Alligator mississippiensis: one gene and its partner. The protein of the gene in region 2 binds, or shares a complex with, the protein of the main gene of each other region. Links are inferred from orthologs where the notes say so. Each region holds a gene or a part of one and is shown on either strand. Other genes may lie near its edges.

Region 1 (3,742 bases), on a different chromosome or scaffold from region 2:
CTGCCTACAAGCTCATCAGGGGGGATCAACAGCAAATAGGCAAAGCTCTTTTCTCCCCAGCACCACCTGGGGTGACAAGGAACAATGGTCATAAGCTGATGGAAAATAGGTTTAGGTTAGAGATCAGAAGGCAATATTTTACAGTTAGGGTGGCCAAAAGCTGGAACAAACTTCCCAAGGAGGTGGTCCTTGCCCCTATCTTGGGCAAATTCAAGAGGAGGTTGGATGATCACTTGTCTGGGGTCTTGTGAACCCAGCATTCATTCCTGCCTGTGGCAGGGGGTCAGACTAGATGATCTGTTCAGGTCCCTCCTGACCCTAGCTACTATGAAACTATGAAACTCCAGACACTGCTCTGTTAAGTATCATCATGCAGACTGATGATTCTGCTAAAAATGTTTGAATTCATGCATCATAAGTACTATCAAATTCTGAGTTCTTTTATACACTGCAGAGGTCTGCTACACTTAATAACTACAGAGAAAAGGAGTCTGAAAAGTGTGTGTTAATTACTGTTACCTTTTAATGTGTTAAACTTTTTTGTTCCCCTCAAATGCATGTGAAATTAATAAACGTTTTCTAAACAATATATATCCCAAATTATGGAATGGCTTTAGCTTACTGCTTTACTACTTCAAATACAGTATTTCACCTGTATTTTCCCCATGCCTATCAAGATATTGCTTTGCTTCTGGACTCAAAACATTTCAAGTCATTGTCATAGCAGAAAGCTCATCACGTATTCCTTACCTTTACTGAAATCTATAGGACAACCTATGCCAATGAAGTTATACATATACATGCTTGGAGGATTGAGACAATAATACTGAATTGTAAAAATCTTTATTCACACAGTTGAAAATTAGTCACCTAAGCAATAACTGTTCTTGTGAGCTGTTCAGGTTTGCAGAGCTGGGTTTTTAATTTATAAAGGAAGCACACACACGCACACACTAGCTGGCCCATCCCAGCAAACAAATAGAGACTGGAATGGTTATGCTAAAGATCAATCTGAGTATGTTTAAAATATCTTTAAATAGAGAAGTTTGTGCAAAACTGCATTTATATGTAATAATGGAAAGCACATCTATGTAACATCAGAAGTACATAAAGCCTAGCTAAATATATCATTCATAATTGACAGACTTCTTTACAAATCTCTTCCATTTACTGAATTACAAATATTTGCCACTTGAAAATGCTGAAATGACCCAGCATTACCTTCATGGGAAGGTGATTAGTAACATTTTAAGGTTACTGGGGAAGGGGTTCATCAAGGAGAAATAAATGGAGTAAGCAAACTAAAACACTGCTAAAACATTGGAGTAGGCAGAACAATGTGCTCTGTGCTTCCCATTTCTCCTGCTCCCCAAGTTCCATTGTGGAAAAAGTGATGCTTTGTTGTGGGTTAGTAAAACCTTACACAACAGCTTGGCCCCCTTCTTTTTCCAAGGATCTGTGCAAAACCCTGCATCTCCTGTGCTACAAACTGGCCACAGAAACAGATCCTCATTCCAAACGGTTGCCAAACCCCCTACAGGGCCGAGAGAGAGTTCAGCCACTAGAGCAATCCGCAACAACACCCAAAATGGTGACTCGAAGTAATAAATCAGACACAAACCCACTACTGGGGGAGGGGGCAGGGGGGGCTCCTATCCCACCCTACACAAACCAAAGGCTGGCCAGGCTGAGGCTTTTCTAAACCCGGACACTCATTTGTTCACCAGCAAAGTCGCCAAGTTAAACAGGATAGAGACAAAGATGGAGATACACCGGAGTACGATGCACACGCAGACAGACTTTTTTATCAAACCCCACCACAGAAAACACGCCTGGGGACAAAAAAAGCCAGCGGTGCCAAGACAGGGAACGAGAATGAGGGCAAAGAGAAGGGGAAGGGTCCGAGGTGAAGGGCGACAGGTGAGGGGCTACAGAGCAGCCAAAGGAAGAAGCGGGTGGGGGCCGGGGATGAGGGGAGCCCAGGCCGAGCTAGGGCAAGAGCAGGGGCCACCACGGGCCGGACAGCGACAGGCGCGCCCGGACGGATGTGGCCGAGGCCGGCGGGCGGTGGCTCGGGGGACAGGGCCACAAGGAAGAGGCCGAGGGGCGAGCGGGCAGGGAACTCACCCGTCTTTCCGCTTGGCTTTGTAGACGTGCCCGTAGGTGCCTCGCCCCACCTTGCAGCCCTCGTACTCGAACAGGTCCTCCACCCGCTCGCGCTCCCCGGTCAGCTTCACCTTGAAGTCATAGTCCATCTTCAGCGCCCGGCGCCGCCCCGCCGGCAGCCCCCGCCACCCGCCCCCCGCCCGCGCCGCGCAGCGCCGCCCCCGCCGGACCCCGCCGGCTCTGGGGAGCTGGAGCAGCAGGAGGAGGCCCCGCGGCAGCGACGCGGACCATGCAGGGGGAGCCGGCGGGCGCTGCTCCCTCCCCGCTCGCGCCCCCGCCGCGCCTCAGCCGGGTAGCGGCACCACAGCCGGTATCGCCACCGGAATACGGCGGCCGCGCCTGACCGCACTGCCGCAAAAGCGTCGCACGGGCGCGCTCCGCCCCCCCGCCGCCTCCCGGCTCCTGGCGCACCACGTGGAATCCAGCCGGCTGCGGCGACCCCCACTACAGCTCCCGGCGTGCCCTGCGCCACAGCACTGACGTGAGCTGTGCACTTTGCATGCCGGGAGTGGTAGTGCAGGGGGGTAGATGAGCGCCGCGCTTGGCTATGGTCGAGGCCGCGCGGGGCCTGCCGGGAGGTGTAGTCCGTAGGGTGAATGGTGGGGAGTACGAGACGGTGAGGAGGAGATGCCGCGGAACCTGGTGGCCGCGGCGCGCTGCATGCTGGGAGCTGTGGTCCGTGGGCGGGGACCGCGCTCAGCGCGGCATGGCGGGATTCGTAGTCAGCGAGGAGGGGAGGGGGCTTTCTGTCCCGCCCCGCCCCGCCCCGTCCCGTCGGGGACCTCGCACCTCCAGGTCTCGGGGTTGTGGGGTGATAAGCAGTAGCGTCTTCCAGTGCGGGGATTTAAGATTAAGGTACAGTTTAGGGCCTTGCAATATGAGGGGCTTCTAAATAAGAAAGGAGTCTGGACATTTTCGTTCTAATATGACAAAAATATACATCTATATGGCTACACAGTTATTAATAGTCAGTTCATAAATTTGTGCAGAAAAAACAATAATTCATCTTAAGATTTCATGACAGTCCACTTTTGTGGATTTCATGGATTGTTTTTATCATATGGGGCCTCTTAAAATGGACATAGTTTAAGGCTTCAGCATGTCATAATCTGGGAGCACTGGGTTCACCTCAGAAAGCCCCACCATAAACACATGGGAGACTGTGGGGAGCTGTAAGGTCATTGCCCCTCCTAGCAGCCCTGGCCTACCCAGCCCTTCCCTCCACCTCACAGGCACCTCAGCCCCCTGGTGCTCTGGGAGGGGGGCAGCAGCACTGGGCACAAGTGGCACAGAGTTAAACAGTAGGAGTTAGCCCACACAATCGGGGTATGAATTAAGGCGGAGCTGGAGGGGTGGCAGGGCTGAGCACCCCCCCCTCCCCAGTAAGAGACATGAGCCCCCTGTAAGATTTGAAAATCATAACCAGGGGGGCGCGACTGGATTGCTCCTTCACTTAGGTGAACTTGCTAATCAATGAACCGTTTGGGGTTTTTTTGCAGACCCCCACCCCTCCAAGAGTCAAAATATAATTCGAACTCTGCTCAGGATGCCTCACGTGACCCTTTTGTCAGCGATT
Region 2 (3,742 bases):
TTCCGTTACAGGAAAGAGAATTGGGGCAGATGTTGGGCCCTGCCATACGTATCGTTTCCATTTAATGCCAGTTAAATCAGCCTGGGGGAAGAGAAAAAACAAATTCAAGGACGTGTTTGGGCAAAAGCAAAGTTTACTACATCCAGAAATCATTTCTAGTTTCTTAGTTAGAAAGAAAGTATAAGAAAGACTCAAAATAAGAAACTGCCAGAGGATCCCTACTTGCTATGAAAGCATCAAAGATTAAAAAAGAAACAAGCTCCATTGGTTAGGTCAATAAAACTTGTCTGAAACTATATTCTAATTTCGTAAACCCAGGCGTATACCAGAATGCCAAAAAAAGACCCAACCCTAGGTCCCAAGTTATGATGACCTTTATCCTGTTTTAAAACTGCCTGAAATAACAACTCTAATTATTAGTAGCAGAAGCAAACCTGCAATGAAACTAATCAACTTTTTAAAGGCAGCAAAATAAAAAAAAATTAAAAAAACAGAAGTGAAGGGCAGCAATGGAGTTATTTTCAAACAATTTCGTAACTGCGTGATTATTAACTAATCACACATCTTGGCAAGGGATTTTTTTCTCTGGACTTCATCTTGCATTGGCCCTTCTCTGTATTTAAGTTACAAAGCCCTTTCAGAAACCTGTATACAGTCCGCCTATCCTCAAAGGACACTTTCCAATCCCCTGAAAGACTTTACCGGTTACAGCAAAAAAACACAAACCCTTTCAGACACAGGGAATACTTCAAAGAAGCATGGTGACTATACCCTGCACAACACTGTTCTCTTCTCATCTCATGTCTTACAAGTGAAATTCTAAATTATTTTTCCTTGCTGTAAATGTGTTTGACTTTGGTCAGGAATGAGAAGTTATGATGTGTCCCGGACCTTCCGAGCCAAAATGCATTTTCCCCTGCTTCTTCCTAGAGGCAGATTACCTGCACCTAATGGGGAAAAGACGAAGCTAGAACTGTTATTTACAAAGCAACACTACTAGAGACTAAGGTGAACGCTATGACCACTGCTTGGCTGGAGCAATGACCTCGAAGGGCTTGCCAGGAGGCACCATGGGTTTTAAGCTAATAAATGAGCCTCTGTGATGGATACCTTGTACTTGCTTAATGATTTCCTCCTCCCCCATATGAGAAAACAGCTAAGAGTATTGCAGCTCCAGGTCTAACATGGCAGCCTCCCCTACCTCAATAAAAAGGGGCAAGGCTGGATTCCAGGTTACGAAAGGATTTGCAACAGCTGGTCCTTCTGAAAGACTAGAGGGCTTAAAAGATGTTGGTGGTATTGAGCTACAGGCCTGATGCTGCCCGTCCCCTTGCTATCTGGCAGACACGACCAGGCTGTCCAGAGTCCCCTACCCCCAAATCCGCCAGTGCAACAGACCGACACATGTTTGACAACAACCACCATCATCCTCAGTACCAGGTAGCCTACCTGGCACGCGGCGACCTGCGGGCCAACGCAAGGCTGTCTACCTGGCACGCCGCGACCTGCAAGCGACTAAGGCAAGCCCGAGCCGTGACCCCCCCCCCGAAATTGACTTGTTTCCATCAAGTTGGCGTGGGCAGCCATCAACACGAAACCGCGGACCCCCTAACGGGGATCGCCCAAACCGCTCGGACGAAAGCGAGCGGCGGAGCCAATCCACCCGGGAAGAGCGGGGAGCGACGCTTCCTCGGACAAAACGCCCCCGGCCACGAGATAAGACCGCGGGTTCGCCCCCCGAAGGAACCTGGCCTGGTCTCCCACCCGCGAGCGCCATCGGGCTCGGGCTGGGGGGGGGGGGGAAGAAAGTTAGTTTGCGTGCCGCCTTCCTGTCAGCGCTAACACGAAGACGGGTGGCGATCGGGCGGCGGGAGCTGGGGGCTGGGAAGGGGCAGGCGAGCCGTGGCGATAGGGAGCTGGGAGTTGGGGGCCGGGAGGGAGAAGGGGCAGGCGAGCTGTGTCCGCACGGTGGTGGGAGTTGGGGGGGGAGGAGGAGGAGGGGCGCCAGGAGACAGACAGACAGCAGGGTGGGGGGAGAGGTGAGGTGCGGGGCCTACTCCGAGGACTCATCCAACCCCTAAAAAAATGGCTGCTCGGCCTCCCCTCCCCCCCGCGGCGGTCGGGCACTGGCTCACCAGGCAGAAGAGGTTGGAGTGGCAATCCTCCAGGCTGGCCCCGTTCGGCACGAAGCAGGAACTCATCCTCACAGCCGCAACCCGCGCGCCATTATCCCACAGCCTCCGACAAGAAAGAAAGAGACAGGCGGGGAGGGAGGCGGGGGGCGCCCGCACGGCTCGGCGCCGGGCCGGGGCCGGGGCCGGGGCGCCGGCGGGGGGAGGCGCGGGCGCTGCCCGCCGGCTCGGGGGGGCCGCGGCGGCAGGAGGCGGAGGAGGAGGAGGGCGGCGATCCGGCGCGGGGGGGCGCGCAGCGGGCGCGACCCTCCGTCAGGGGCGGGGGCGGGGAGCGACGCCCGGCCCCTCGTGTCCGCGCGGGGGGCGGGCGGCTCCCGCCGAGTCCGGCCGCCCCGCCGAGTGCCCGCCGCCGCGGCCGTGTCCGCGCGGGGGGCGGGCCCCGAGTGCGCGGCCTGCGTCCCGGAGCGCCGCCCGCTCCCTCAGCGGTGCCGCTGGCGGCGGCTGCCCGGCCGCGGCATCCTGCCCTGCGCCGCGTGCCGGGGGCGGTGCGGGGGGCGCGGGTGGCGGTGCGGGGCAGGGGGGGGGGGTCTGCGCTCCCGCTCCGATCCGAGCCCCTTTTTTTTTCTTTAATGGCGGCCGCGGGGACGAGAGTCCGGGGCCCCCCCCGCCGCGCCGCGATTGGCCGCCGCCGCGTCACGTGGCGCCGCCCGGTCATGGCGGCTCGGCCCAGGCGGCGGCGGCGGCGGCAGTGGCGCGGAGCGGCCGCTGGGGCGCGAGGCAGCGCTGTTGAGCCCGGCCCCTTGCCCGTTGAGGCGCCGCCATCTAGCGGCCGCCCAACGCCTGCGGCCCAGCCGGGGGGTGGGTGGGGGGCGGCCTGGAGGTGGGGGTGCAGGCCCCAGCCCTCCTGGCTGCCCCTGAGGGGTGCCCTCCACCACCAACAGTGCAGACAAAGCTGGGCGGCTGGGTCGCGCACCTGCACCGCCCGTCGTGCTCGGGACGCTTCTCCGCAGGTGCGACTGGGCTCTTCAGCCGTCTTCAAAAAGTCACCCCCTCGTGTCAAGGGCAAGCCGGAGGAGACGTTCGCTAGTAATGGCGGGAGGCCACGTTGAGGGCAGACCTGAAGAAGGCGGACGGCCGCGGTCAAGCCTTGGGAGGAGCGGTTTGGGCGACGGCCTCCCGTTTTGAAGGAAACGGTCTCGCCCTCGCGGTGGAGGACAGAGAGCAGGGGGGGGAAATCGGGCCTACGGTCTGTTCTCCGCTGTGGAAAGACCTGCAGCTTGGTCCGCGGTTCACGGATAGGACTAAGTTGCCTCGAGACCCATTGACGAGCCACGGTAGAGATCTTCAAATCAAGGCATCGCTGCTGCCGCCAGCCACGACGGCAAATTCACGAGCCTGCGGCTGGACCACAAGCGCTCAAGTTGGACGGACCATCACGGCTGCGGCATCGTTTTGACATTGTTTTTTTAAACGTAGCTTTGCTGGCTAACGTCTTCTAGCCTGGCTTTGCCAAAGGGTCTGATACAAACGATCGAGAGAGTTGAACAACCGGCGTAGGATGGTTTGGAAAGGGGGCTGCAGGAGGTGACCGCTGGAGGTCCCTTCCACCC

What was found. The genes of interacting proteins can lie anywhere in the genome.
Region 1: the proteins of MED13 (region 2) and CDK8 are in contact, whole or in part, in a cryo-EM structure (PDB 8TQC), measured with the Homo sapiens proteins. The link is inferred for Alligator mississippiensis from reciprocal best matches to the Homo sapiens genes MED13 and CDK8. Residues at the interface, in NP_005112.2 of Homo sapiens: Thr1616, Met1617, Asp1618, Arg1619, Lys1621, Val1622, Gly1623, Ile1624, Pro1625, Thr1626, Asp1627, Gly1628, Asp1629, Ser1630, Val1732, Lys1733, Thr1734, Leu1735, Thr1736, Gly1737, Phe1738; in NP_001251.1 of Homo sapiens: Leu9, Glu12, Arg13, Arg71, Lys74, His75, Pro76, Leu81, Gln82, Lys83, Val84, Tyr133, Asp137, His140, Tyr141, Met330, Gln331, Phe335, Leu336, Leu340, Pro341, Thr342, Ser343, Asp344.

Annotation. Positions count from the first base shown.
Region 1 is NC_081824.1:429,552,008-429,555,749, forward strand, and holds the start of CDK8 (cyclin-dependent kinase 8), read right to left. Parts: upstream 2,294-3,742; 5' UTR 2,256-2,293; coding exon 2,128-2,255; intron 1-2,127.
Region 2 is NC_081837.1:3,769,603-3,773,344, reverse strand, and holds the start of MED13 (mediator of RNA polymerase II transcription subunit 13), read right to left. Parts: upstream 2,424-3,742; 5' UTR 2,202-2,423; coding exon 2,136-2,201; intron 82-2,135; coding exon 1-81. UniProt on the Homo sapiens protein: Component of the Mediator complex, a coactivator involved in the regulated transcription of nearly all RNA polymerase II-dependent genes.